4 linked regions of the Anolis sagrei genome follow. The protein of the gene in region 1 purifies or fractionates together with the protein of each later gene. This does not show direct contact. Links are inferred from orthologs where the notes say so. Each region holds a gene or a part of one and is shown on either strand. Other genes may lie near its edges.

The links.
Region 2: the proteins of RACK1 (region 1) and IGF1R purify together in Homo sapiens (affinity purification with western blotting; 4 studies listed by BioGRID, with this or other methods). This does not show direct contact. The link is inferred for Anolis sagrei from reciprocal best matches to the Homo sapiens genes RACK1 and IGF1R.
Region 3: the proteins of RACK1 (region 1) and TNRC6C purify together in Homo sapiens (affinity purification with mass spectrometry; 3 studies listed by BioGRID and IntAct, counting the BioPlex papers as one, with this or other methods). This does not show direct contact. The link is inferred for Anolis sagrei from reciprocal best matches to the Homo sapiens genes RACK1 and TNRC6C.
Region 4: the proteins of RACK1 (region 1) and HELZ purify together in Homo sapiens (affinity purification with mass spectrometry; 3 studies listed by BioGRID and IntAct, counting the BioPlex papers as one, with this or other methods). This does not show direct contact. The link is inferred for Anolis sagrei from reciprocal best matches to the Homo sapiens genes RACK1 and HELZ.

What each region holds. Positions count from the first base shown.
Region 1 is NC_090022.1:24,601,787-24,609,515, reverse strand, and holds the start of RACK1 (small ribosomal subunit protein RACK1), read right to left. Parts: upstream 3,029-7,729; 5' UTR 2,903-3,028; coding exon 2,794-2,902; intron 1-2,793. UniProt on the Homo sapiens protein: Scaffolding protein involved in the recruitment, assembly and/or regulation of a variety of signaling molecules. Interacts with a wide variety of proteins and plays a role in many cellular processes.
Region 2 is NC_090029.1:14,282,178-14,289,957, reverse strand, and holds the start of IGF1R (insulin-like growth factor 1 receptor), read right to left. Parts: upstream 3,031-7,780; 5' UTR 977-3,030; coding exon 883-976; intron 1-882. UniProt on the Homo sapiens protein: Receptor tyrosine kinase which mediates actions of insulin-like growth factor 1 (IGF1). Binds IGF1 with high affinity and IGF2 and insulin (INS) with a lower affinity. The activated IGF1R is involved in cell growth and survival control.
Region 3 is NC_090022.1:121,166,914-121,174,937, forward strand, and holds the start of TNRC6C (trinucleotide repeat-containing gene 6C protein), read right to left. Parts: upstream 3,021-8,024; 5' UTR 2,986-3,020; coding exon 2,932-2,985; intron 1-2,931. UniProt on the Homo sapiens protein: Plays a role in RNA-mediated gene silencing by micro-RNAs (miRNAs). Required for miRNA-dependent translational repression of complementary mRNAs by argonaute family proteins.
Region 4 is NC_090022.1:180,429,571-180,437,405, forward strand, and holds the start of HELZ (probable helicase with zinc finger domain), read left to right. Parts: upstream 1-4,745; 5' UTR 4,746-4,818; intron 4,819-7,835. UniProt on the Homo sapiens protein: May act as a helicase that plays a role in RNA metabolism in multiple tissues and organs within the developing embryo.

The sequences.
Region 1 (7,729 bases):
GAGTAGGATTTTTGTGTGTGTGTCAGGAGCAACTTGAGAAACTGCAAGTTGCTTCTGATGTGAGAGAATTGGCCATCTGCAAGACTGTGCCTGGATGTTTGATATTTTACCATCCTATGGGAGGCTTCCTTCATGTCACCCCATGGGTAGCTGGAGCTGACAGAGGGGAGCTCAACCCGCTCTCTCCGGATTCAAACCACTGACCTTTTGGTCAGCAGTCCTGCTGGCACAAGGATTTAACCCACTGTGCCACCAGAGACTCCTGAGTAGAGTAGGTAAAGATTCACTAGCAGATCTCTGGGTGATTTGCCGTAAATTGGAAAAAAACTCCTTTGACTTCCAATTATGTATCAGCAAAAAAAAAGAAGTTCTACAAGCTTAGATGAGATTACTAGAAAAGAAGAGTGGAGAGAAAACAGAGGGGATAAAATGGTTTATATGGTTTTTATAATATTAGGTTGAATGTTTCTAATTGTACTTTATGAATATATGGCATCAAATTCTGCCAATTTCTGTAAGCTGCCTTGCATCGCCGTAAGGCTGAGAAAGGCGAGCTACAAATGCCATAAATAAATATTTAAGTTATGGGGTTTAGTTCTGGTCACAATGACAAAATTTGGCCACCTGCATGTGCTCAGGAGTTCCCTATTCTTTGAAAAGATGTCATATTGAGGAGGGGCCAAGCTTAAAGACTAGGATACAAAGGAATTGATTCAAATTGCAGGAAAAAGATATTCTGCCTAAACATTAGGAAGAACTTCCTGACTGTAAGAGCTGTTTCGGCAGTGGAATATGCTGCTTCCTCAGAGTTTGGATGATTTTAAGAAGTGGCTGGATGATCATCTGTCGGAGGTGTTTTGATTCTGTATTGTTGCATGGCATGGGGTTAGACTAGATGGAGTCTCTTCCAACTCTGTGATACTATAATTCTAATATGAAAGCAAAGCATGCCAAGCCAGCCAGGTGGCTGTTCACTCTAATTCACAAACCTGAGAGACCTGTAGCACTCCTTCATCGCTTCTGAGTTGTGAGATCATTTTTTGTTAGCATTTTGTGGTACTCCTCTAAACTAAAGGTTTCCAGTAACATGCTAGAGCCTCCCCACCCCGCTTCTTAATGGATCCTCCTCTGTCCCATCATAATTGCAGGACTTGTCTTCAGATCCCATTAAGAAGATCAGGTAGACAATGTCGTATTTAATCATTGGGACAGAGAAGAAGCAAATGCACCTGCTATTGACCTCGACGTGAAGCTACCTTAGGCATGCACAAACTTCGGCCCCCCAGATGTTTTGGTCTTAAACTCCCACAACTCGGTAGGCTGTTAGGAGTTGTGGGAGTTGAAGTCCAAAACACTTGGAGGGCCGAAGTTTGACCATGCCTGAGCTACCCATTGCAAAGCTTCAAAAAGCAACTTTTTTGGAGGGAGAAGGCCCAGCAGCCATCCCAAAACGATACTTCCTCAATCTTTGATTCTATGGCCATACCTACATTAACCAAGGGTGCGTTTACACAGAAGTTCCACCCTGTCTCCTGTGCTATGCTAATAATATAATATAATATAATGTAATATAATATATTGTATATACATATAATATTTATAATACATGTAATATTACTAATAATATTACAATATAATGGTATAGTACAATATAGTAATATTTAATACTGACATTGTGCTAATATATAATATATTGTTTGTATGTGTGTGTGTGTGTGTGTGTGTGTATATATATATATATATATATATATATATATATTTTGTAAGTGGCTCTGAGTCCCCTTCGGGGTGAGAAGGACGGCATATCAATGTCATAAATAAATAACCAAGGGTGCGTCTAAACAGAAGTTCCACCTTGTCTTCTGTGCTATGCTAATACAATATAATACAATGTACTATATTGCATATACATATATTTATAATACATGTAATATTACTCATAATATTACAATATAATGTTATAGTACAATATAGTAATATATAGTACTGATATTGTACTATGCTAATGATCTAAAATATTGTATGTGTGTATATATCTTGAAAGCTGCTCTGAGTCCCCTTCGGGATGAGAAGGGCGGCATATAAATGTCATAAATAAATAAATAACCAAGAGTGCGTCTACATACATTTCACCTTGTCTCCGGTGATATCTTAATAATATAATATAATGTAATATTACTAATAATATTACAATATAATGGTATAGTACAATATAGTAATATATAATACTGATATTGTACTATGGTAATAATATAATATGTTGTATGTATATATATCTTGTAAGCCACTCTAAGTCCCCTTCAGGGTGAGAAGAGCGACATATAAATGTCATAAATAAATAAATAATAGCATTAATGCTGTTTGGCACCACTTCCAACTGCTATGGGATCATGGGAGATGTAGTTTTACAAGACCTTTCGCTCTCTATGCTAAACTACATTTATTCCACAATATAAAGTCACCAAAACCCTTACTATTACTTGGTTTGTTCCAAATACTGTGCTCTATGGAACTTCCCAGCCATACTTCCTAAGGACTGTGGGTCGCTCCCATAAGCATATATGGGGGAGTGTGACTACAGGATAAGAATCGCAGTCTAGTTATTCTGGCCCTTAGTGATATTCATAAGAATCCCTATTCCTTCCATGTAACTTGGACCATTCCAACTTCTCTCGGCTGAATGATATGTCTCTTCCCCCCCCCCCCCATTATACATTGGTCTCTCCCACTTTATCTTATTAATCCCCCCCCCCGGCCTTGCCATTTGGTTTGGCCCTGCTTCTTTGGCCTTACCACGCGAGGCGGACAGGATCATGTCGGGGAACTGCGGGGTGGTGGCGATCTGGGTCACCCAGCCGTTGTGGCCCTTCAGGGTGCCACGCAGAGTCATCTGCTCCGTCATGGCGGCGGCTGAGAAGGCTCGAGCTCCCGCGGCGGACGGAGGATGGCGGCGGATTCAGCAGCGGCCCTTCGCCCGGACCTGCCAGCTCGCAGAGGCCCAGAAAGAGAAAGGAAGCGGCAGCGTCTTCCGGAAGCGGAAGTAGCCTCGCCTCGCGGGCTCCGTACAACAACATGGCTCCTTACTGTCTCTTATATACGGATGAGAAAAAACAATAGCTGGTACAGAAACCCGTCCCTGGAAATCACCTAATAGTTTCCTACTATCATTCCTAATTCTGATAAAGATCCCAAATACCATTGCAAAATCCGCTTCTGGAATAAAGCGGGTTAGTTTGGTGGCAATCCCCTCAGAGACGTACAACATGGCGGCGCCCTGGGATTTTACTTATCGCGAGATTAGGAACGTTGATTCCTCCATTCCTAGCGCGAATAGGGTGGGTTGATAGCAATAGTTACTGGCATAGATGGCCATGCAGTCTAGTGGACCCCACAGCAGTTGGAAGTGGTGTCAAACCGCATTAATTCTGCAGTGTAGATGCACCCTTGGTTAATGTAGGTATCAAAGATTGAGCAAGTATCATTTTGGGATGGCTGCTGGGCATTCATCATCATCATCATCATCATCATTATTATTATTATTATTATTCTCCCTCCAAAATAATAATATAGATAATAATAATTAATTATAATTATAATTATAACAACTTTTTTGGAGGGAGGGATATTAATATATTATATTATTATTATTATTAATTATAATTATAATAATAATTAAAAATAATAATATAATATATTAATATCCCTCCCTCCAAAAAAGTTGTTTTTTGAAGCTTTGCAATGGGTAGATCAGTTATGCGCCAACTTGGGCCCTCCAGGTGTTTTGGACTTCAACTCCCACAATTCCTAACAGCCTACCGGCTGTTAGGAATTGTGGGAGTTGAAGTCCAAAACACCTGGAGGGCCCAAGTTTGCCCATAACTGATCTACACTAATTAATACAGTTTGATGCCATTTCAACTTCCATAGCTCAGTGCTATGGAATTATGGGATTTGTAGTTTGGTGAGGCACTGGGGCTCTTGGGCAGAGAAGGCTATATAGCTTGTAAAACTACAACTCCTAAGACTGTGTAACATTTAGCCAAGGCAGTTCAAGTAGTGCCAAACCGGATTAATTCTACAATTTAGATAGATAACTTAAAAATACTTTAGCAATTGCAGTGATGGTAAGCATGTTTAACATGAGCAAGAATGTGTGGCTCGACTAGAATGACTCAGACTTGGAGTGATGACTCAGCAATTCTTTGAAGCCCTCGTGGATTGCATTGCAGCCATTCTTTCCTATCAGGCAGAGCGGCTGCCCCAAGCACTCAGTTGGTTTCTGTAGTGTAGTGGTTATCACGTTCGCCTCACACGCGAAAGGTCCCCGGTTCGAAACCGGGCAGAAACACATACTGATCACTTTTTGTCTTCTTGGTTGGATGGAAAATAAATCAGCTAAAGCTTGTTAAAATTATTTAATACTCCAATAATCAGTATTTCATTTCAGCTCAATTGATATTTAAATGTGTAAATTCATTATGCAGATACCTCCATGGAGGATTGCCTTCTGATACTGAGAAATTAAGTTAAATGAATGTGTGAGCCCATGAAATATTGCAAAACACCTGTTATTTAAAAGAAACTAAAGGAAGAAAATGAATTTATTTTATTTATCATGTCAGGGGCAACCAGACAATTGTATGACATTTCTAACAGAACAAAACAAACAAACAAACAAACAGACAAAACACAAAATTTGCAAGCTTGGTAGTTGATTAACTACCAAGCTCCAGAAGGGACCAGAAAATGAATTGATTCTCTCTCTCTCTCTCTCTCTCTCTCTCTCTATATATATATATATATATATATAAATGTAATGTTAATTTGTGGGATTAACATAACTCAAAAACCACTGGACGAATTGACACCAAATTTGGACACAATACACCTATCAGGCCAGCAATCGACCATCACTCATAAAAACACTGAAAAACACAGCAGAAGAAACTTAAAAAGCCAAAAAACAAAATAAAATTACAATGCATTTGCAGAACCATACACACACACATATATATGCAAACATACATATAATAATAATAATAATAATAATAATAATAATCTTTATTTATACCCCGCCACCATCTCCCCCAACGGGGACTGGGAGTGGCTTACATGGGGCCAAGCCCGAACCACAGATTACAATTCAAAAAAATAAAAAAATACAATAAAATAAACAACATAACATTAAAGTATAAAACATCAAAACATATAAACAATATACATAGAACATAAACAATATACATAGAACATAAGGACAAGGAGTGGGCCGCATGTACATAAAATGATTTTAAAACTCCGAGGGAGATAAAGGGGTAAAACTAATTGTAGGGAGAACTCATGGAGAGACGGGATAATAAACAAACCTACATACAAAGGGGGGGGGGGGGGGGACTCCTGGGACAAGAATGTTGAGGGAGCAATAGCATGAAGTTGTATGACTACTCTCCAAAGGTGCAATGGCAGAGCCAGGTCTTGAGACTCTTTTTAAAGGTTTCTAATTCTGGGTACCACAATTGAAAGGAGATGTTAACAAGCTGGAATGTGTCCAGAGAAGAATGGCTAAAACGATCAAGGGTCTGGAGAACAAGCCCTATGAGGAGTGGCCTTCTTGTTGGCCACTCCAACTCTTTGGAACTCCCTCCACAAGGAGGTCAAAACAGCACCTTCCCTGACATCTTTTTAAAAACAGCTAAAGACCCTCCTGTTAGCTCAATGTTTTGATGAAAACACTTAGCTATAATGACAGGAAAGCTAACTTTTACTGAGTTGCGCAAACTTTACCATCTGTCTTGTTGAGTAGCTTGCAATAACTGTATTAGATATTTTAAATGGGTTTATTTCTCATTGTAAAATTGTTTTATAGGTTGTTGTCTTACATATGTACATTGTCTTGTATTGTCTTTTACACAATGCTGTGAGCTGCTTTGGGTCCTGTTTAGGGAAAAAAGCGGGATACAAATAAAAACTTATGATTATTATTTGAAACACAACAAGATGAGTCCACAGCAGACAAGATCACTCTGCTGGCTGTTGTATTGGATCACACGTTGGAAACTTCCCAAGTGTCTAGGACTGTGTGATGTATCAGCGAATAATGCGTGCAGATCCCAGTAAGGCAGCCTTCTGCAGTTGGCAGATGGTAATTTTATCAGCGCCAATTGTGTTTAAGTACAGGCCAAGGTCTTTAGGCACTGCACCCAGTGTGCCGATCACCACTGGAACCACCTTGACTGGCTTGTGCCAGAGTATTTGCAGTTCGATCTTTAAATCCTCGTATTGTGACAGCTTTTCTAGTTGCTTCTCTGCAATCCTGCTGTCACCTGGAATTGCAACATCAACAATCCATACTTTATTTTTTAACATAATCGTGAGGTCAGGAATATTTTGCTCCAAAACTCTGTCTGAATTCAGAAGTCCCAGAGTAGCTTGACGTGTTCATTCTCTGAAACTTTTTCAGGCTTGTGATCCCTCCAGTTCTTTGTCGCAGGAAGATGGTATTTGTGGCACGGGTTCCAATTAATCATCTGAGCAACAGTGTTATGCCTCTGCTTGTAGTTTTTATTACTATTAATATTATTATTATCATTATCATTATTTCCTTTTTTGCCTAAGAGTGCTGGCACTCACCAAACAGGATTCCATAGCCTTGCGCTTTGAATTTACTCTGGCACAAGTTTTTCTCTGTTCTTGTTAAATCATCAGCCAAAGCTAGGGCCCATCTAGAGTACTGAGCAACAGGAGCTAAAGTAGTGTCAAACCACACTAGTTCCTCAGCAGATACCTAGGGATCATTGTATTAATCATTTTTACAATTATTAATGTATTTAGGTGATTTTGAATTATTTGTGTTAAGAAATGTGTTAAGAACACAGTGTTAAGAACACAGAGAGTGCTCACTAATGCTTCCTCTTCATCTTGGAAAGAAGTGACAAGTGGAGTGCCGCAGGGCTCCGTCCTGGGCCCGATCCTGTTCAACATCTTTATTAATGACTTAGATGAAGGGCTAGAAGGCATGATCATCAAGTTTGCAGACGACACCAAATTGGGAGGGATAGCCAATAGTCCAGAGGACAGGAGCAGAATTCAAAACGATCTTGACAGATTAGAGAGATGGGCCAAAACTAACAAAATGAAGTTCAACAGCGACAAATGCAAGATACTCCACTTTGGCAGAAAAAACGAAATGCAAAGATACAGAATGGGTGACGCCTGGCTCGAGAGCAGTACGTGTGAAAAAGATCTTGGAGTCCTCGTGGACAACAAGTTAAACATGAGCCAACAATGTGACGTGGCGGCAAAAAAAGCCAATGGGATTTTGGCCTGCATCAATAGGAGCATAGTGTCTAGATCTAAGGAAGTAATGCTACCCCTCTATTCTGCTTTGGTTAGACCACACCTGGAATATTGTGTCCAATTCTGGGCGCCACAATTCAAGAGAGATATTGACAAGCTGGAATGTGTCCAGAGGAGGGCGACTAAAATGATCAAGGGTCTGGAGAACAAGCCCTATGAGGAGCGGCTTAGGGAACTGGGCATGTTTAGCCTGAAGAAGAGAAGGCTGAGAGGAGATATGATAGCCATGTATAAATATGTGAGAGGAAGCCACAGGGAGGAGGGAGCAAGCTTGTTTTCTGCTTCCTTGGAGACTAGGACGCGGAACAATGGCTTCAAACTACAAGAGAGGAGATTCCATCTGAACATTAGGAAGAACTTCCTGACTGTGAGAGCC
Region 2 (7,780 bases), on another chromosome or scaffold:
CATACACACATTATGGGAACTGAAGACCAAAACACCTGGAAGGGAGGGACCAAGTTAGCCCATGCCAAGTCCAAAAGACCTGGAAGGGAGGACCCAAGTTGGCCCATGCCTTCATCCTCTTGGCAATGGACACTTCAGTCAATCAAGGGATCATCTGAATACACACATTATGGGCAGTGAAGTCCAAAACACCTGGAAGGGAGGGCCCAAGTTGGCCCATGCCTTCATCCTCTTGGCAATGGACACCAGTCAATCAAGGGATCATCTGCATACACACATTATGGGAACTGAAGACCAAAACACCTGGAAGGGAGGGCCCAAGTTGGCCCATGCCTTCGTCCTCTTGGCAATGGACACTACATTCAATCAAGGGATCATCTGAATACACACATTATGGGAAGTGAAGTCCAAAACACCTGGAAGGGAGGGCCCAAGTTGGCCCATGCCTTCATCCTCTTGGCAATGGACACTACAGTCAATCAAGGGATCATCTGCATACACACATTATGGGAAGTGAAGTCCAAAACACCTGGAAGGGAGGGCCCAAGTTGGCCCATGCCTGGTATAGCAGCTTGTCCTTCCAACTGATGGAGGAGACAATATGAGCTAAAAATAAACACATGTGTGTGTGTGTTTTCTGGGTAAATGCCCGGAAAACATGTGTGTGTGTGTGTGTGTTGTTTATTTTTAGCATGTGTGTGTGTGTGTTTTCCGGGTAAATCCCGGAAAACTCACAGCAACCCAATAAACCCAATAAATATAGCCGCCTGTCCTTTCATCAATCCCAACTCCTGGTAGAGGAGATGGAATTAAAAATAAACTACCCCCCCCCTTAACAGACACACACACATAAATATATAGGTATGTCTATGAAACACTCACTTTTTCCATTTGCTGTCCCGAAGCAAAACGTGGTCAAGATCAGCAAAAGCCCCCCATATAAGGTCAGGGACCCTCCTCCAGCGCCAGGCTTCATTCCTCTCTTTTTGTCCTTCTGGGTTGGGAGCAAAACTGGCCTTTGGGAAGTCCACAAAAACAGAAGAATCTAACAACAATACTAATCAATCTGTACAGGGTTTCCAGAGAAGCGGTGGAACTCTTCTTCCCCAACCTTGTTCCCCCAAAAAAGAAGGATTTTCTCTCCAAAAGGCTCCTTTTGGAGAAAGGAGGACAAGAATACAGAGAGAGAGAAGCGTTTGGGAGTCCTTGGATGTTTCCCTGGTTTGGTTCTTTCTCTTTCCTTTGGGGAGGCCTCTGCCAGGGGAAGAAGGAAGGGAATGGAGGGAGGAAGGAAAGGCAGGGATGGGGGGTCTTTTGGAGAGGCCAAAAAGGGGTCTTTGGCCCCTTTTTTCTCTTCGAGGAGGGAAGATCCCGGCGTGCGCCTCAGCCTCGCCTGCAGTCATCCAGGAGCAGCAAACATGTCACACGTTGGAGCAAACAGTCCGCATCTTCGACCTCCATCTTTTTTCTTCTCCTCCTCCTCCTTCTCCTTCTTCCTGCCGGGCTTGCCTTCTCCGCCCTACCCCCACAAACAAATAAACAAACAAATAAACAATCAGGAAAACACCAACACGGATCCCTTCTTTGCCTCCTTCCTCTCTCTCCAAGCCTCCTGTGCGCAATGCAAAAGGCCTCCTTGCTTTTACGCACGACTTCTCCTTCTCAATCTCCTTTGGAAAAAACCCCCAAAATGCAAAAATGGAAAAAAATCCCCAAAACCCCAAAGAGGAAACGCAGGGGAACGATGAGGGGGTGCTTTCCTTTGGAGAAAAAAAAATGACTCAATCCAATATTTCTTCCAATGGAAGGAAAGAAAGAAAGAAGGAAGGTTGTTGTTGTTTTTGGAGAGGTTCCTTTCTGGTCCTTCTTCCTGACTCCTTTCTCTCTCTCTTCCCTTTGTATTTTTTCGTCCCACCAAAAAGCTCTAAAAGGAGGAGAAATAGAGGAACGACTGGGGGGTCGCTTTCCTTGGAAGGGCGGGGGGACAAATTCAATCCAGTATTTCTTCCAATGGAAGGAAAGAAGGAAGGTTGTTGTTGTTTTTGGAGAGGTTCCTTTCTGGTCCTTCTTCCTGACTCCTTTCTCTCTTCCTTTTGTATTTTTTCGTCCCACCAAAAAGCTCTAAAAGGAGGAAAAATAGAGGAACGACTGGGGGGGTCGCTTTCCTTGGAGGGGGGGACAAATTCAATCCAATGGGAGTGGAAGGAAGGAAAGAAGGAAGGAAGGAAGGCAAGGCGGATCTTGTTGTTGTTTTGGAGAGGTTTCCTTTCTGGCGCGTTTCCCCCTCTTTCAGACGCCTTTCTCTCTTCTTTTTGCCCCCCAAGAATGGAGGAGGCGTCCTTCAAAGGGTCCGAAGCCCCTTCCCCATCTTTCCTCGGCCTGTTTTTGCCAAATGCGGATCCTAAATGCGGAATGGCGATGAATGGAGGGAGGAGACGCGGCGCGCCAAAGGCTTGGCTTTCTCTCTTTCTCTGTCTCTCTCTCTTTCCCCCTCCTTTTTTCCCAGGCTCCTTCCCAAATAGGAAAAAGGAGGGAAAGGAAGGGGGGGGGGGGACCAAAGGAAGGGGCACCTCCCTCTGGAAAGAAAAAAAAAGAGGCAAATAAATAGGGAGGGAGTCCCTTCTCCAAACGCCTCCCTTCCCTTCGGAAAGGCGCCTTTGCAAACAACGCCAGGCGAGGCTCGAGGGAGATCCCGGAGGCGGATTCCGAAGCTGGGTTTCTCTTTCTCTCTTTCTCTCTGTGTCTCTCTTTCCTTCCCTTCTTCGCCTTCTCTTCCCAAAGAAGCAGAGGAATGAATGGTGGGAGGAGGAGGAGGATCCGGCGTTTGGCTGCTGAAGGTCAAATCCTGGGGAGCAGCAAAACCAAAGCAAGGAAGGAAGGAAGGAAACAAAGCCAAGCAGCACTGTTCTCCCTTGCTTGCTTGCTTTTCCTCCCTCCCTCCTTCCTTCTCTCTCTCTCTTTACCAGAGGAGGGGGCCTACCAGGCCGGAGAGTCGCCCTCCGCAGCAGTAGCAGCAACAACCTCCGCCTTCCTCTCTTCCTCCTCCTCCTCCTCTTCCTCCTCCTCTCGACTGCGGAGGCTGGCTTTTTCCACGGCGCCGCCTCCTCCTCTTCCTCCTCTCCTCCTCTTTCTCCTTCCTCCTCTCCTGACTCCCAGCCGTAGCCCAGGCTTTCCCCTTCCTCCCCCCCCCCCCCCCGCTTTGGGGTTGCAGGCCTCCAAAGTGGGTGCACCCCCCCTCCCCGACCGCCTCTCCAAATGCGCAAAAATAGAGACCCCTCTCTCCCTCTCCAAAGGAAAACGCCCAAATCTGGATATTGAGAGTTTTGCAATGCTTATAGTAGTGACTGAGAAGGGTGCTTAAGACTTTGAAGGTGACAAGAAAGGAGGCTTTCTCCCAAGTCTTTGGGGATTTGGGGGTCTTGCAATGCCATGATGGAGACTGAGAAGGGTGCTCCAAACGCTGAGGGTGCCAAGAAAGGAGCCTTTCTCCCAAGTCTTTGGGCATTTTGGGGGGGGGGGGGGTTGCAGTGCCATGATGGAGACTGAGAAGGGTGCTCCAGACTCTGAAGGTGCCAAGAAAGGAGGGTTTCTCCCAAGTCTTTGGGCATTTGGGGGTCTTGTAATGCCATGATGGGGACTGAGAGGAGTGCTCCAGACTCTGAAGGTGCCAAGAAGGGAGCCTTTCTCCCAAGTCTTTGGGCATTTGGGGGGGGGGGGGTTTGCAATGCCATGATGGGAGACTGAGAGGGGTGCTACAGACTCTGAAGGTGCCAAGAAAGGAGGCTTTCTCCCAAGTCTTTGGGCATTTGGGATCTTGCTATGCCATGAGGGAGACTGAGAGGGGTGCTCCAAACTCTGAATGTGACGGAAAAGAGGCTTTTCCCCAAATCTTTGGACATTTGGGGGGGTTGCAATGCCATGATGGTGACTGAGAAGGGTGCTCCAGACTCTGAAGGAGCCAGAAAGGAGGGTTTTTCCCAAGTCTTCAGGCATTTGAGGGGTTGCAATGCCATGATGGTGACTGAGAGGGGTGCTCCACACTTTGAAGGTGCCAAGAAGGGAGACTTTCTCCCAAGTCTTTGGGCATTGGGGGTTTACAATGCCATGATGGTGACTGAGAAGGGTGCTCCAGACTCTGAAGGTGCCAGAAAGGAGCCTTTCTCCAGTCTTTGGGCATTTGGGGGTTGCAATGCCATGGTGGTGACTGAGAAGGGTGCTCCAGACTCTGAAGGTGCCAGAAAGGAGCCTTTCTCCAGTCTTTGGCCATTTGGGGGTTGCAATGCCATGGTGGTGACTGAGAGGGGTACTCAAGACCCTGAAGGTGACAAGAAAGGAGCCTTTCTCCCAATTCTTTGAGCATTTGAGGGGTTGCAATGCCATGATGGTGACTGAGAGGGGGGCTCCAGACTCTGAAGGTGCCAGAAAGGAGGGGTTTTCCCCAAGTCTTCAGGCATTTGAGGGGTTGCAATGCCATGATGGTGACTGAGAGGGGTACTCAAGACTTTGAAGGTGCCAAGAAAGGAGGATTTCTCCCGATTCCTTGGGCATTTGGGGAGTCTTGCAGTGCCATGATGGAGACTGAGAGGGGTGCTCCAGACTCTGAAGGTGCCAAGAAAGGAGGCTTTCCCCCAAGTCTTTGAGCATTTGGGGTCTTGCAATGCCATGATGGTGACTGAGAGGGGTACTCAAGACCCTGAAGGTGCCAAGAAAGGAGACTTTCTCCCAAGTATTTGGGCATTTGGGGGTCTTGCAATGCCATGATGGTGACTGAGAGAGGTACTCAAGACCCTGAAGGTGCCAAGATAGGAGCCTTTCTCCCAATTCTTTGGGCATGGGGGGGGGGGGTCCAATACCATGATGGAGACTGAGAGGGGTGCTCCACACTTTGAAGGTGCTTTTTTCCCAAGTCTTTGGGCATTTGGGGGTTTTGCAATGCCGTGATGGAGACTGAGAGGGGTGCTCCAGACTCTGAAGGTGCCAAGATAGGAGCCTTTCTCCCAATTCTTTGGGCATTGGGGGGGGGGGGGGGGTTCCAATTCCATGATGGTGACTGAGAGAGGTACTCAGGACCCTGAAGGTGCCAAGATAGGAGCCTTTCTCCCAATTCTTTGGGCATTGGGGGGTGGGGTTCCAATGCCATGATGGAGACTGAGAGGGGTACTCCACACTTTGAAGGAGACTTTCTCCCAAGTCTTTGGGCATTTGGGGGTTTTGCAATGCCATGATGGTGACTGAGAGGGGTACTCAAGACCCTGAAGGTGCCAAGAAAGGAGCCTTTCTCCCAATTCTTTGGGCATGGGGGGGGGTCCAATACCATGATGGAGACTGAGAGGGGTGCTCCACACTTTGAAGGTGCTTTTTTCCCAAGTCTTTGGGCATTTGGGGGTTTTGCAATGCCGTGATGGAGACTGAGAGGGGTGCTCCAGACTCTGAAGGTGCCAAGATAGGAGCCTTTCTCCCAATTCTTTGGGCATTGGGGGGTGGGGTTCCAATGCCATGATGGAGACTGAGAGGGGTACTCCACACTTTGAAGGAGACTTTCTCCCAAGTCTTTGGGCATTTGGGGGTTTTGCAATGCCATGATGGAGACTGAGAGGGGTACTCAAGACCCTGAAGGTGCCAAAGCGAGGAACCTTTCTCTCTTTGCAGTCCTCTCCCTTAATTACAACACGAAATAAACACCCAGGAGGATAACAATCAGTAAGGTGCATCCAAACATTATTGGGGTTGGAAAGCAAGGGCTTTGCATCCTAACAGGGAAGACTAAATCTCGACTAAATCGGAAGCGTCTATTATTCTTAACTTCTATAATAACTTCATCATTCATTTGTTTCTCTTAACTTCTTTGCAATCTGATAACATTTCTATTACATACAATTATCTCTGTTTGTTTCTATTACATCTTAAACACATATGATAGGAAACACAACACCCCCCTCCCCTTTTATTTTTCTCCTTTGCTTGCGTTTCGGGAGCGCGCACGCACAAACGCACGCCTCCGCCACCGCTTTGCTTTTTGCAAGAGACGGAGCCTGGATTTCTCTCTCCTGGAGCACAAAGGAATGGAGCCTAGCAGCCCCTTATCCACGAATTCCATATCCGCGGGGCCTGGCTACTCCTTGGAGAAGTTTTCTCCCACTCCAAAAAAAAAGAAAGGTACCTAACTGCCTGTATAAAAGTGCTTCGGTATTACTATGCTGTTTTTTATGTATATGTGTGTGTATATAATAATAATTAATAATAATTATTATTAATTAATAATAATAATTAATAATAATTAATAATAATACTTTATCCCCAAAGGGATTTGGGGCGGCTTATATGAGGCCAAGCCCTACAATACATACATCAGTAAATCAACACAGCAATAACATAAAAGCCAAAAAAAGAGAAATCTATATACATAAAAATGTAATGTTCGTTTGTGGGATTAACAGAACTCAAAAACCACTGGACGAATTGACGCCAAATTTGGACACAAGACACCTACTAACCCAAGAAATGATCATCACGAAAAAAAATTGATTTTCTCATTTGGGAGTTGTAGTTGTTCGGATTTATAGTTCACCTCCAATCAAAGGGCATTCTGAACTCCACCAAATCATGGAATTTTACCAAACTTGGCACACAGGACTCCCCTGACCAACAGAAAATACTAGAAGCGTTTGGTGGGCATTGACATTCGTTTGGGAGTTGTAGTTCACCTACATCCAGAGAGCACTGTGGACTCAAACAATGAAGGATCCAGACCAAACTTGGCATGAAAATTCCATATGCCCTAATATGAACAGAGATGGCATTCAGAGGAAATAGACCTTGACATTTGGGATTTATAGTTCACCTACAATCAAACAGCATTCTGAACTCCACCAAATCATGGGATTGAACCAAACGTGGCACACAGGACTCCCCTGACCAACAGAAAATACTAGAAGGGTTTGGTGGGCATTGACGTTGGGTTTGGGAGTTGTAGTTCACCTACATCCAGAGAGCACTGTGGACTCAAACAATGAAGGATCCAGACCAAACTTAGCACGAATATTCCATATGCCCAAATATGAACAGAGATGGAGTCTGGGAGAAATAGACCTTGACATTTGGGATATGTAGTTACTGGGATTTATAGTTCACCTCCAATCAAAGAGCATTCTGAACCCCACCAACAACAGACTTGGGGCAAACTTCCCACACAAAACCCCCATGGCCAGCCATTCCAACTCCCTTCACCAGGGCAAGAAAATGTAATCAAAGGCCTCCTGACAAAGAGCCATCCAGCCATAGATGTAGATAGATATATATGATTCACACACAGAGAGATATAGTATCATAGATTTGAAATATAGTATCATGAATATGATATATTATCATAGTATCATAGATTTGAAAGGGACCCCTTAAGATGGACAATTATATGTTGCATGTTCCAAAGTAGGCAAACCAGATACTCTCCACATCAACACTGACAAAGACACAGCAAGAAATGCTGTTTACCCACAAGCATCAAGGCATTACATATATTAGAAACCAACACTTTCTAATTACTTCATTTTCCAGATCACCAGACTGGGCCACAGCAACGCGTGGCAGGGGACAGCTAGTATCATATAACATAATGTGATACAAGAGAGCTTATGTTATGATAATAATAATAATAATAAACTTTATTTATACCCCGCTGCCATCTCCCTAAGGAACTTGGTGCGGCTTACTTGAGGCCGAGCCCACAATACATCAATACAAGCAATAACAACAAAATAAATTAAATAAAACTCATAAGCAA
Region 3 (8,024 bases), about 97 Mb from region 1:
CGATGTAGATGCCACAAAGGGATAATTATGAGCATACCAACTGAAAAGTTCAAAAGTCAGATTAAATCAAGACTATAATCTTTTTGACATCATTTGATCATTATTCAATCACCTTTTTATTAAAGATGCGCTTCACCCTGCGATTTGGGATATATTGTCATCTTCTGCAATATATTCAAGGGCTTATCTCAGACTTTTCTGTGAATTTTAAAAATATGCTGTAACCCCTTTAATCCACAGTGTAGCATTCATTTGGAAGTGAAGCTGCATTAAATAATAAGTGGAAATGGGGCCTTAGTCTACTTTAGAAATAACTTCTGAAAAAGAGTGAACACATTTTTTAAAACCCCCAGTGTGCTTCAAAATTCTTGTTATCTTTTCCCAGACCTGAGCAGATGCAGATTGGGCAAAACAACAAAGTGCCTTGTAATTTTGTACATTTCATCCAGTACAAGCTTTTGTGAAATGCAAGCCAGTAGCTACCCCCGAAAAGTGACCAAGCAAAGCAGTCTTTCACTCATGTTGAATATCAACCACAAGATGGCTCCCTGAGCATTCTCTTTAAATAGTTTGCTTGCTTTCTGAAGAGGCTGTCTTGCTAAAAACAACTGCTTGACTTACCTTTCTGTGCATGTTGCCTAAGGCAAAAGTCATATCCCGGTAACTACTCAAGTTTATCTTTTTAAAAATAAAGAGAAAATTCAATCATGCTGCTCATTGTCCCAATGGCACTTACTGTAATTAGGTACAAAAGCTACTAGAAGGAGTCCCTTGAAGTCTGTGCCATCTACTACATTCCATCTTGAGAATCTGACCATACAGACTTCAAGAAATCTGTATTCAGTTAGCCTTTCTCTGCTTTTTACAACTTATTCTATGAAGAGATCTGGGGTTCCGGAAAGCTTGCCCACAGTTTTACAAATATTTAGACTCGCTGTACATTTTGGATTTTTTTCTTGATTAACACAACTTTGTTTTCTTACTTTCAAAGCATTGTCTCTTATCCTAAGGTACCATTGCTCAGTTATGAATAATGCACATAGCGGATATACTGGGCTAGGGATGATCAGATTATTATCAATAAGTATGAGGATACCTTCGTGACTGTCCTTGGATTATGTGGCTGGTCACCATCATGTTGCTGTAGATTAGTGGTGCCCTCCAGGTGTTTGGGACTCTAACTCCCAGAAGCTCTGGCCAGCTTGTGTAGTGATCAGGAATTTTGGGAAGTGAAGTCCAGAACATCTGAGGGACCAAAGGTTGGACACCACTGTTCTAGATGATCCTTGGATCTGATTCTAATCCAGAAAAAGAATCAGGGCTTGGGAAGTTACTTTTAAGAACAATGACTGGCAGCCTACATTTCAGTTATGGATTTGTAACCTAAAGTTACAGATCTGTATCTGCTCCATATTTAGCCATGTTTCACATTCACAATTGTGGTGCTACTGCCATGACTGCAAATGTCCATCCAAACATACCTTGAATATCATTTGAAGTGGGGTGCAAGGAAAACAAAAGAGCCATCACCCACAAAGAGTGATTGAAAGTCTGTTGTTGTGGTAAGCCGGCTAGAGCAAGATGATGTTTCTATCTCCCTCCTACCGCAATCAACGCTGTGACAATAAAAAGTAGGGTCCTCATTGCACAGCAAATCATTGGTGGAAGGGAGCTGAGAAATGTCATCATGCTGTACCCTGATTTTTAAGAGAACAGGCACCCATTTCTCCATGTGGCTGCTAGCATTTAGAGTGGGGTTTTGGAATCTGGACTGGAGACAAAATGAAGTTATTCATTCATAAGTATTTATTTAATATAGTACATTATGGATTATAATGACATACTGGAGCCATACATAACTGAAGGATAATACCCTGGGTCTCCTTAAAAGTAATTTTCTAAGTTCTGGAAACACATCATATATAAATGGAAATTTGATTTAACACGCAACTCTAGAAATTTCTCCCAGAGAGACCACTGGCTCCAGGTTTTGGCTCACTGGCCCCAAATGATATAGGTATTCCTTGTCCTGGATAGCATTTTACCAAACTAAGTGCTATCCATGGGACATCTATTGCATTTAAATCCCTATATGCATAAATTTCAAAAGAAAGGGCGTAGTAATCATGCAAGGAAAAAGCAGTTATTAAGGTGGTTTAATGCAATGAGAAAAGGTTAGCAGAAACACCAAGTTCACGATCACTCCATTTGCCAGATGGAACAGGTACATGTGGTTTGTGTTATGTGCATTCAGTTTCCATACTTCTAAGTTCTGAAAATCACACTTATGACCAAGTCATAAAATAAAAAAAATTCTATGTGTCTGGTAAACATTTCAAATATTGTGTGTCAAATAAATCTGAACCTACAGTTTTCTAGGTCTCAGTTGTCTAAGTCATTTAGATACCTAAGGGGTGTTTTGTTTTATTTTAGTCTTTCCAAGTAACTTTGCATTAAGCACCCCATTTTCTCCTGCAAACATCTGGTTATTCATACATCTTGGATGCCTCCCAGGGGATCTCTGATAAATGAAAGCACGCTGGGTATACATTATGTGTCTACTTACAATGGTACATTTTTACAGCTGAATACCACAAACATGCATATAAATCATTACATCATAAAAAATGTCATTAGGAAGTACTAAAGTTTCCAAAATTTAATGCATATTGTCCTAGCTGTAAAAGACAATACCTGAGAAAACCAGCTAGGATTACAATCAACAAATTGGTACAAAATGGAAGGAGGAGCTAAACCAAATGTTAGCTATAAATTTTGTGAACACCACTGTTAGATATTCTTTGTTGTAGAAATTGTACAGCTCAGAGTTATGACACTCATTCTCCATAGTATCTCAGTACTCAGCATTTGCGACAAAAACAAAAGACAACCCTGGCCTGCAATCGCTCTTTGTGCAAGCTATTGTCTTACCTGGCTAGGTTGGACTGCAGAATCTTTGATGCTGACCTTCCCATGAAAAGCCATTCAAGCCCATCCTCCCTGAAGACTCTTCTGGAGATCAGCGGCATCTCTGCATGAGGAACATGTGACGGTCAGTTTAAACAAGGAAGGACACATCAATTTACCAAAGGCCTAGTGCACAACATGTTGCTGCCTAAGGCAGAAGAACCGATAACCTGCCCTCCCCAGTCATCTGGGTTGCAAGATCCTCAAAGCGAGCCAAATTCTTTGGGCATACAAGGAGGGGAAAAATCCCATAAACACTTTTCCTCATATCTGGCACTGAACAAAATTATAACAAACCAAATAAATATGATTTAATTGCATAATTAATTAATTGTATGATTGATTGATTGCACTGAAAACCTTCCAAAGATGCTCTGTGGGAGAAAAATCCTTCTCTACCTAGGAATTTGTCAATTACACTTATACCCTCGCTTCCCTACATCATGGTGATGTAGATTCCTCACTTCTTCCCCATTTGATCATCATATCAACCCACATTATTTTACATTACATTTTTTCTTAATTGGATATATAACAAATGTAAAACAGATTTCTAAAAGTTTTCCCATTCATAACCATCTGTTGTATGATATAATAAATCAGGTTTGTGACAGTTCTTCCTTCCTGATTGTGATCAGGTAACTCAAACTAAAAATCAATTCCAAGTGTTGCCATAACTTTCTGACCTCCTCCTGTTTCTACATATGGTTTCATTAAACATAGGATCTTTTACTCTTTGGGGATCAGTTACAAAGAATGCTAAGCTCAAATGCTTCTGAATAGTTCAGCCCACTGGATCTTCTTGTGTTAATACTTTGAGTCTTCTTATCTAAATCATGCTATATCCCTAACAAGCAGGAAGAAGTTTTGCAAAATCCAAGAGAACTATAATTTAAATTAAAACATAAAGTTTTTCAAAATTAATTTTAAATACTTATTTTATATTCTAAAAAAAAAAAGAATTTCCAAAAGTTTGCTTAGAAGGCACACAACAGAGTTGCCAGATCAAATCCAAAACTTTACTAGGATCTTTATTTTGATCACAGCAAGTTTGGGAACTCTTTGTTTGGCTATGTAGGTTTTTAAAAAACGTATTAGGAGTTTACTTAATAAAACAGTAAAATATATCCTACCCTCCACCAGCACTGACAACATTACATGATTCTAAGTGTAACCAAATAATTACTTGTAGAGATAGCAACAAATGTAAGTAGTCAATATCCAAAAAGTGCCCCTTATGACTTCCGGTTGGGCGGCAATGGCAGCTGGCAGGGCTCCGGGGACTCTCCCGAGAGCCAACCCTTAAGCTGCAAGCAGAGGGGGTGTAACCCTCAACCCTTGGACCGGATCGAGTGTCCAAGAGACGCTATCTCCATAGCACCTCGAACCGACGGTCTAAGAGTGGGTCCCCCTCAAGGAGACTCACCAAAGACCCGGACGAGAGGAGGCTGGGAGCTGCGGCTTGCTGCAGGGGACCCGGTCCCAGGGAACTGGGAACTGGGATAACAGCCGACCGTGCGCTATTTTAAAGCGGTGAGAGTGGTGGGATCTGGGAGACGGCACACCAGCAGCTGGAAGCGGAGCCCAGAAAGGGTAAGACTTAATAAAACAGTAAAATATATCCTACCCTCCACCAGCACTGACAACATTACATGATTCTAAGTGTAACCAAATAATTACTTGTAGAGATAGCAACAAATGTAAGTAGTCAATATCCAAAAAGTGCCCCTTATGATAGCTCCCAACTTATGTGGTTCAATTGTGAACCATGTCTAGAGCATGCCATATATGTTATAAACAAATGTCATACTGTCTGAAATATATATTTATGGTTGCGAAGTACTTTTTAAGTAGAGGGACAATTGATGGTCCCTCAGACCACTGGAGGAGGTGGACTATAGGTTGGGGAAAAAATGAACGAATTCCTATGCACACTGAACATATCTTATTTGTAGTAAAAAAATCATGAAAGAACAATACAATATTTAAAATAAAGTATAATTACCAGCATTACAATGGGAAGTGTGGGCTTACTTTTGGTTGATGTGATAGTCAAGTTAATTAGGATTGTTGTTGTGTGACTTCATGTCATTTCAGACTTAGGGTTACCCTAAGTCTAAAGTTTAGGGCAGGGACTGGGTAAATGATCTCGGTGGGCCGCATCCAGTCCTCAGGCCTCTGTTTGGGGACCCTGTACTGGGTGATCTTGGGCAAGTCGCACTGTCTTAGCCTCATGTATTGATAGAATGTATTAATTTGGGGGGGGGGGGGGGAAGAGATGTGACCATCATTACATAGAAAGATACACATTTTTGTGAAAGGGAATGGTTCTTGGTCTAAGGAAGGAGATAGGTCTATGCCGTAATTATCAAGTGTTCCATTGCTTCCATATAACTGTGAAAACTGGGTAACGTAAATGTGTAATAGCACAGAAATGTTTCTGGATATATATACAATACATTATAAGTATAAAATATCAATAAACTTCATTGTGGCTACCAAGAAGTTTTACAGAGAGGATTAGCTGTACTTAATGCTTCTTTACCAGATGTGGTTTGCCCAGTATCTCAAATCCTGTAGAGATGGCAATTTTCACTAGTCACCCAGCTACTTTTCCTTCCTTCCTTCTTCCCTCCCTCCCTCCTTCCCTTTATTTATTTATTCAAAGTTTTAATGGCTTGCTAGCCAACAGCTCTCCCTATCTGGTCATCTTTAATTCTTCTTCATGTAAGCTTGCTGCCCTGCAGCATGAATCTGTTGCTTTTTGTTTGTATTCCAGTTCCATCATGTTTTTGAAGTTCCTCCTCCAACTTCAGTCTGCCTTCTCAAACAAAATGGAATGCATTCATTTTCTCTTGACTTACTCCTTCCTCTCTGAACTTTCCATGTTTTTGTCCCTTGAATCCAATCCTTTGTTCTCACTGCCTCATTAATATGTCATGACCAGGTGGCAGAATACATTTGAGGCCTTTAAAAGCCCCAAGAAAATGGATTCTGTTACCTCCAGGATTCTGGAGGCTATGGTTTGGTTGTGGGAGAGAATACTGTGGCTTTGCTAGAGAAAGATGGTTGATACTCCCATTACAATATTTATTTAATATATTTGACCAGTTGTTGTTTTATTTAGATTGAATCCATATATTTGCATATTTCACTAGGTCTACTGTGAAAGCTAGCCCAGATAGCAGTGTGCAAACGTTTATGTCTCACTATCAACGCTGAGGAAAGATTCACCTGTCAATCCAACTTTTGCACAAAGAAACAGGAGAGTGCTATTTTGTTCTTTGCCAATGTCATCTTGATTAAGATCTGAAACTTATTTACAAATAAATACAGGGCATTACAGATACTTTTATGTGTGAATTTTAAAGCTGCAATCCTATAATGCTTATTTGGAAATAAGACCGACTGAACCTAGCAAATTTATTTCAGAGTAAACCTGAATACGTTTATGCTGCATATTGACTGTGAACTATGTTTGCATGATTTATGAGAGGAATACATTATAATTATAAATCTAGAATACAGTGGAAAGAAGGCAAGCATCACTTAAACTTGCTATTCTTTCTATTAGGACCTTCTCACATGCACCACCGTAATCTCCCTGGATCACCGCAGATTGCAGTGATACCAGCAGCACTCATCCAGGGCGCATGGCAACCTGTTGTCTTGCACCCTGTCATGGTTTAAAAAATAAATGTCATAATTAAAATGGTAAGGTACTGAGGCCTTTAGACTTGGCCACATTGCAAAATGCAGAGTCACTCATGTCTAGGCCTAGGCACTCTGTAAATTAATTAATTGAAAACAACCAGTTTTATCCACAGTCATGACTGCATTTTACAAATTTTAATATTTTATTATGCAATATTGTAGGTGTGTGCGGTAATCTCATGTTATTATCATGTTTGTGAGATTACAATTGCCCCAAATATTGTTTATTTGAGCCGCCCCCAAGTCCCTTTGGGGAGATGATGGCAGGGTACAAATAAAATGTATTATTATTATTATTATTATTATTATTATTATTATTATTTATTAGCACAGTCAGGTGACTGAGCTAGTGACTCATGGGGGAGAGTAAAAAAAAGCAGATACCTCCTATGTGCTCAGCATAGTCTGTTGTAGGACAATGGAGCTGTGGATGGGGCAAAGAGCTGAGATAGAGAGTGTGTATATTGTGTATATAGCTTTGTCTTCTGAAGCAAGTGAAGATAAAGCTTTCCTGCATACTGCAGTGAAAGGACTTCTATTATTATTATTGCACAGTGAAGTTTCCTGCATTGCTCAAGGACTCTAGGACCCAGCTGACTCATGGCTTGGGGGTGCTTCCAGTACTCTACTGAGGCAGAGGAAAATACCTGACATGCCCCACATTGTCCTGGCTTCCCCCCTACCTCAGCACATATGGGGAAGCCTTCTTAAGTTGGCTCAACCATCTTTCCCAATGGAAAGATGGGAAGCCTCCTGTGGACCACCACCAGCGACAGGGTTTTTGAGGCAGGGTTTTGGCAGCAGTTCAGCCCTGGAGCCATCCCAGAAGTACTTCTCCAGGGTATGGTGAGAGCCATCGGGGTCTATGGCTGAACTGCTGAACACCTGTCATAGACCACCAAAAAATAACCCATGTGAAGAAGTCCTATGACCAATGAGGCCCATAGATCCTACTGTTGTATCACGCTCCCCCCCCTCCCCAAAAAAAGACACACAAAGCCTCCAACATGTACCAATTGCCAAAAGCCCACCCACACCCACAGAAACCTCATTTGGTGACATCATTTCCTGTCATCATTTTGGGAAGGACATGCACAAAACTTGAGGTATTCAGGCACAATGTTGGTGGGGTATATAGTCCACTGAGGAAAATTTGTCTCCATTTCTCACCTTTGTTATACTCGTCTATGCCATATGTCTTTGATCACACCATACATATTAATTCACATGTGTTAGATGAATGTCAGCAAAAAACACATCTTTTAAAGCTGTGTGGCATGCAGACAGCAAATCTTGGGTGGTCCTGTCAGACTTCTAAATGAGGAAAATTGACTTCAACAGTG
Region 4 (7,835 bases), about 160 Mb from region 1:
TGCAGCTGTATTCAGTTAAAATATTATTTGGCATTTTGGAGCTGAAATCTTATCTCATGAAAACCTTTTACACATGCACACATATAGTTGGTTTTTTTTTTTTTTTGTCGTGTCAGGAGCGACTTAAGAAACTGCAAGTCGCTTCTGGTGTGGAGAATTGGCCATCTGCAAGGATGCTGCCTGGGGACGCTCGGATGTTTTGATGTTTTACCATCCTTGTGGGAGGCTTCTCTCATGTCCCCGCATGAGGAGCTGGAGCTGATAGAGAGAGCTCATCCGTGCTCTCCCCGGATTCGAACCTGCAACCTGTCGGTCTTCAGTCCTGCCAGCACAGCGGTTTAACCCACTGCACCACTGGGGGCTCCTCACATATATAGTAAGATAACATATATTTTAAAACATTGTCATTTCTCATTACATTTTGTTAACACACCCACCCATTGCAGCCAACACACAGAGGCTGGATCTACACTGCCCTGTATCTCAGGATCTAATCCCAGGGCCCTTCCACATTCATCTGAATCAGAATATCAACCTTGATAATCCACTATATATGCTTTGAACTGGATTATCTGAGTCCACACTGCCATATAGATGGTTTTAAACAACTGATTTTAAAGTAAATATAACTGATTTTAGTGTTTGTGTATATTTATAGTTATTTTATGTTCCGGCATGGAATACTTGCCATATATATGTTGTGCTCCGCCCTGAGTCCCCTTCGGGGTGAGAAGGGTGGAATATAAATGTTTCAGATAAATAAATAAAATCCAGTTAAATGTAGATTTTATGTAGCTGTGTGGAAGGGTCCCCGGATTATCTGCTTTGAACTGGATTATGAGTCTACACTGCCAGGGCCCTTCTACACTGCCATATAATCCAGATGATCAAAGCAGATGATCTACATGATCTGCTTTGAACTAGATTAACTAGATCAAAGCAGGCAATGTGGATTATCTGCTTTGGTGATCTGTACTGTAGTGCAGAAGGGGCCAGAGGCTCTTTCCACGCAGTTGTATAAAATCCCACATTATCTGCTCAAAACTGGCAGTGTGGACTCAGATAACTCAGTTCAAAGTAGATATTGTGGTTTATCTGCCTTGATATTCTATATTCTCGGGGCCCTTCAACACAGCTATATAACTCAGAATACCAAGGCAGGAAATCCCACAATACCTGTTTATTTATCGTGTCAGGAGCAAACCAAAACAGTTGTATTGCATTAAAAACAAACAAACAATCAAAACACAAAGTTTGCAGACTTGGTATTCTATTAAATGTCCTTTGACCAGTAGCTGGCCACTTGGAGTGCCTCTGGTGTTGCTGCAAGAAGGTCCCCCATTGTGCATGTGGCAGGGATCAGGTTGCATTGCAGCAGGTGGTCTGTGGTTTGCTCTTATCCACATTCGCCTGTCATGGACTCCACTTTGTAGCGCCATTTCTAAAGGTTGGCTCTGCAACTCGTGGTGCCAGAGTGCAGTCTGTTCAGCGCCTTCCAAGTTGCCCAGTTTTCTGTGTGCCCAGGAGGGAGTCTCTCATTTGGTATCAGCCATTGATTGAGGTTCTGGGTTTGAGCCTGCCACTTTTGGACTCTCACTTGCTGAGGTGTTCCAGCGAGTGTCTCTGTAGATCTTAGAAAACTATTTCTTGATTTACGTCGTTGGCGTGCTGACTGATACCCAAACGGGTGGGCCAGAGATGTCACTGCCTTGGTCCTTTCACTATTGGTTGCTACACCCTGGCGGATGTCAGGTGGTGCAATATTGGCTAAACAGTGTAATTTCTCCAGTGGTGTAGGGCGCAGACACCCCGTGATAATGCAGCATGTCTCATTAAGAGCCACATCCACTGTTTTAGCATGGTGAGATGTGTTCCACACTGGGCATGTGTAGTGAATCTACTTCCAGTCAGGCCTATTTTAGGTCTAGAATGGTAGACCCAAGGAGTCGGCAGCCATCTTAGAAGAAGGTGCCGAGGGACTCCATTTTGATGGCTCATTTTCCAGGAGGGGGCATGTGTATTTAAATCAGTCTTTGGAGGGAAAATGAGAGAGGGATGTGATTAGCCAAGTCAGAGGAGGCGGAGCCTGGCTTGCAAAGAGGAGAAAAACTTGCTTTTTAGGAGGTTTTTGAGATCCCTGGAGGAATTGGAGTTTGAAGAGAAAGGGTGTTTAGGAGTGGAGTGGTGTTAGAAGTAAAGGCCTAAGTCTGGCCAGAAGTTTGCTAGCAAGGTAGCTGAAGCAGACTTGCAGCTAATAGATTAGCTGGGTAATAGCAGGATAGTATCAGGTTAGATCTATCTGGGCTACTGAAGAATCTCTAGCAGAGACACTGTCCTGTTAGTTTCTTGTTTTGTTTTGGAGGGAGAGAAGATTCTCTTAAGTAACAAAGATAGAACCATTCGTGTAACCATCACGCTTTTAAGACACAACTTTCTGTAACAGCCAAAATAATAACTGCATTTGTTCCTGTTCTAAATAATAAACCTTGTTGATTTTTGTTCATCAAAACCTGACTCAAGTGTGCCTCTATGCTTGAAGATTTCCAAAGTAACTTTAAGCAGTGTTGAAGAAACTAATGGTTACAGCGTACCTTTAAAGAAACAGCTTTAAAAGGGAACACAAGCCTTAGGGCTGACACAATCACACTCTTTCACCTCATATAAGCCAAGGGCTTAGCAGCACTATGGAGTGGGTGTGTGCTGGTGATCTTTCAAAAGGGTTTTGTATTCGGCCAGGCAGAGAGTTGCTAGCTTTTCTGTATATCATATCAGGTTTTTTTTGGGGGGGGGGGGGGGGGATTTTTATTGTCAAATAAATATTTCCCAGAATAAGTTCCCTACTTTGTGAGTAGCACAGCGCAAGGGCAGATGTCTTCACTGTATCTGATTGTGATACCTGTTTTGAACTTTGTTGTTGTTCATTCGTTCAGACGTTTCTGACTCTTTGTGACCTCATGGACCAGCCAACGCCAGAGCTCCCTGTCGGCCATCACCACCCTCAGCTCCTTCAAGGTCAAGCCAGTCACTTCAAGGATGCCATCCATCCATCTTGCCCTTGGTCGGCCCCTCTTCCTTTTTCCTTCCATTTTCCCCAACATAATTGTCTTCTCTAAGCTTTCCTTTCTCCTCATGATGTGGCCAAAGTACTTCATCTTGGCCTCTACTATCCTTCCCTCCAATGAGCAGTCAGGCTTTATTTCCTGAAGTATGGACTGGTTGGATCTTCTCGCAGTCCAAGGCACTCTCAGAACTTTTCTCCAACACCACAGTTCAAAAGCATCTATCTTCCTTTGCTCAGCCTTCCTTATGATCCAGCTCTCACATCCGTAGGTGACTACGGGGAATACCATTGCTTTGACTATGCAGATGGAGCCTCCAGTGGGTTAAACCCCTGTGCTGGCAGGACTGAAGACCAACAGGTGGCAGGTTGGAATCTGGGGAGAGGATGATGAGTTCCCTCTATCAGCTTCAGGTCCTCATGCGGGGACATGAAAAAAGCCTTACACAAGGATGGTAAAACATAAAAAAACACATCCTGGCGTCCCCTGGTTTTGAAGACTCCTGTAGATGCAGCCATGGTGTATGATAGAACCTCATAGTTACAATTGGAGCCCCCGGTGGCGCAGTAGGTTAAACCCTATGCCGGCAGGACTGAAGACCAGCAAGTCGCAGGTTTGAATCTGGGGAGAGTGTGGATGAGCTCCCTCTATCAGCTCCAGCTCCTCATGCGGGAACATGAGAGAACCCTCCCACAAGGATGGTAAAACAAAACAAAAAACACACACATCCTGGCATCCCCTGGGTTTGAAGACTACTGTAGATGCAGCCATGGTGTATGATAGAACCTCATAGTTAGAATTGGAGCCCCCGGTGGCGCAGTGGGTTAAACCCGTGCCGGCAGGACTGAAGACCAGCAGGTCGCAGGTTCCAATCTGGGGAGAGTGTGGATGAGCTCTCTCTATCAGCTACAGCTCCTCATGCGGGAACATGAGAGAAGCCTCCTACATGGATGGTAAAACATCAAAACATCTGGGCGTCCCCTGGGCAACGTCCTTGCAGACGGCCAATTCTCTCACACCAGAAGCGACTTGCAGTTTCTGAAGTCACTCATGACACGACAAAAAAACAAAACAAAACAAAAAACTATGCCGATCTTTGTTGCCAATGTGATGTCTCTACTCTTCACTATTTTATCATCATCATCATCATCTAATTACTTATTAATCGCCCTCCATCCAAGATGCTCTAGGCGTCTTTTATCGAGCTTGGTCATTGCTCTCCTCCCAAGAAGTGAGTCCACACCACCATATATTCCAGTACAAAGCAGAAAATGTGGGATTTTATTCAGCTGAGTGGAAAGGGCCAGTGTTAAAAGGCTGCCTGAAAGGGCCTTGAGTCCACACTGCCATATAATCCGTTTCAGTGTGGGATGTTATTCAGCTGTATGGAAGGGCCCCCAGACTTAGGCTTCTCTGCCAAAGAGGGCCTGTTAGAAAGGCCAGACAAAGTGGCTATCCAACTGCCTTTCATTCGACAGTATGGAGTCTCAACAGAAAGAAGAGTAGTCTTCGGGAGCTGGAATACTGCTAGGCCCCGCTTGGCTGCCTCTGAGGCCTGGCAACCATGAAGCAAAGAAGGCAAGCCCTCCTCCCTCTCTCCCTCCCTCAGCGGCCCAACTTTTCCCTGCTGGGCGAAGAGCAATGCCTGGAGGGAGGGGGGAGGAGGAGGAGGAGGAGGGCCCGCTTCCCTCTCCGCGCCCACAATGCTTTGCGCGGACGTTGACAAGTGGATCCAAGATGGCGTAGAAAGTAATGACAGGTAAGTCAGGACTTGCCCGTCTCCGGGCCGGGAGGGCAAAGGGCGAGCGGGGGCAGGGCGGCTGGGCTGCGAGGAGGCCTTCGAGGCCAAGGGGGCCCTGGGGGGATAGGGGGGCCCGCGTGGTTCCGCGGAGGAGGCGGCGGAGGAGGCGCGGCGCCGGCGGAGAGGGCCCTGTGGTCTGCCGAGGGGCCTGCAGGAGGAGCGGCGGAGGCAGCCATCGCAAGAGGGCAGGGAGGCAGGGAGGCAGGGCGAGGGGAAGGGGCTGCTCCTGTGCTCACTCACAGGGCCCGAGGAGCACCGGCTTGGCCTTCAGAGGCCCGGCTGAGGGCGGGGAAGGCTTCAGGCCGCTCAGCCTCGACGGCGGAGGGCGGCTCTAACGGCTCTCTAGGAAGGCACCAAACCCACACTGAAGGAAGGGGTGGGGTGTGTTTTCTAGCATACAGATCTATGCGCCTCACCAGCCAGGCGAATGAGGAAGCTCCTCGAAGGGCGGGGATCCGAAGTGCTTTGAAGAAAGGATCCTGTGGGCCCTTTCCACACAGCTGAATTAAATCCCACATTTTCTGCTTTGAACTAGACTCGGATAACCCAGTTCAAAGCAGATTTTGGGGATTTTCTGCCTTGATATTCTGGATTATATAGCTGTGTGGAAGGGCCCGCAGATAACCCAGTTCAAAGCAGATATTGGGGATTTTCTGCCTTGATATTCTGGGTTATATGGCTGTGTGGAAGGGCCCTCAGATAACCCAATTCGAAACAGATATTCAGGTTTTTCTGTCTTGACTTTCAGGGTTAGATGGCTGTGTGGAAGGGCCCTCAGATAACCCAGTTCAAAGCAGATATTGGGGATTTTCTGCCTTGATATTCTGGGTTATAGGGCTGTGTGGAAGGGCCCTCAGATAACCCAGTTCAAAGCAGATATTGGGGATTTTCTGCCTTGATATTCTGGGTTATATGGCTGTGTGGAAGGTCCCTCAGGTAACCCAGTTCAAAGCAGATATTGGGGATTTTCTGCCTTGATATTCTGGGTTATATGCAGAGGCGGCCCTAGGTAATTTTCAACGGTCAGCAAAAAGTATTTTGGCGCCCCCCTCCCCCCAACCAATCACTGATATATATTTTCTGTTCGTCATGGGAGTTCTGTGTGCCATATTTGGTTCAATTCCATCACTGGTGGAGTTCAAAATGCTCTTAGATTGTAGGTGAACTATACATCCCAGTAACTACAACTCGCATATGTCAAGGTCTATTTTCCCCCAAGACCGCCTCAAGAGCGCCCCTGGGCAAAATCAACTATACTGCAAATGCTTACTTTTCGTAATGGGTTGAGCCGCCCCTGGTTATATGGCTGTTTGGAAGGGCCCTCAGATAACCCAATTCGAATCAGATATTCAGGTTTTTCTGTCTTGACTTTCAGGGTTAGATGGCTGTGTGGAAGGGCCCTCAGGTAATCCAGTTCAAAGCAGATATTGGGGATTTTCTGCCTTGACGTCCTTGGTTATATGGCTGTTAGGAATGGCCCTCAGATAACCCAATTCAAAACAGATATTTGGAATTTTCTGTCTTGATTTTCTGGGATAGATGGCTGTGTGGAAGGGCCCTCAGAAAACCCAGTTCAGAGCAGATATTGGGGGAATTATTGCCTTCATATTATGGGTTATATGGCTGTGTGGAAGGGCCCTAGGTTAAGTCTTTGTGTAACTGGGGTGGGAAACAACAACTGCCAACCTTTCTCTGGAAGGCTTTTCTCCTGCAAATACGCCCACTGTTTCGCCTTTCAAAAAGCAAGTCTTATTTTATTTTTATTTATTTTATTAAGTGGCTACACAGCATTTCACAAGATGATTCATGAACTATTGCTGAATGATAGAGAGGAACAATGGTTTTGGATCGATCACTTAGCCTTGCCAGAGAATCAGCTCCTTTATAGGTGAATGAAAACAGTTTGGAAAGTTAATGTTTGAAAGGGATTGCATGAGTCGTAAGAGAAAAGGCATGTTAAACCTTGGTGAGAAAGGAAAACTGGTGAACTGTGCTCTAGGGCCCTTCCACACAGCCATATAACCCAGAATATCAAGGCAAAAATCCTACAACATCTGCTTTGAACTGGGTTATCTGAGTCCACACTGCCATATTTTCCAGTTCAAAACAGAAAATGTGGAATTTTATTCAGTTGTGTGGAAGGGGCCTTAGGCCCCTTCTACATTGCCATATAACCAGATTATCAAATCAGATAATCCACATTATCTGTTTTGAAGTGGATTATATGAGCCCCCTTCTATGACCCCTTCCACACAGCTGTATAAAATCCATATTGAACTAGATTATATAGCAGTGTCAACTCAGATAATCAAATTGAAAGATATTGTTGATTATCTGACTTGAAATTCTGGGTTACATGGCGGTGTGGAAGGATCTTACACTGCCATATAAAATCCAGATTTTCTACTTTGAACTGGATTATATTGCAGTGTAGACTTATGTGGATTGCCTGCTTTGATAATATGGATTTTATATGGCAGCGTGGAAGGGGCCATAATCTGCAAAACCATATAATCCAGAATTTAAGGTAGATAATCCGCAATATCTGCTTTCAACTGGATTATCTGAGTCTACACTGTTATCCAGTTCAATGCAGATTTTATACAGCTGTGTGGAAGGGGCCTAGGTGGGGTCTTAGTTTGTCCAGCACACAATAAATGTGAAGTATTGATAGAGAAACAAATGAGTTTTCCTATTGAATCACTGCATGGGGGCTTCTGTTTTTGGCAGGATAATTTCAACACTGTTGATTCACAAGCTTTCAAACATATTTGTACAGCAAACCTTTGTTTTTCCATAAAACTTTTATGTTGAGCGGTTATTACATTTTGTAAAAACTAAGCTAAAAATATAATTGTAACTTCTTGAGTTTGATAGCTTATAAAAAGCCTTCTCCTTCAAAATGATAAAAAAATAGACGGAAGGCTTGTAAAGATTTATATATAAAATTTTGTTGTTATGTGCTTGCATCCATT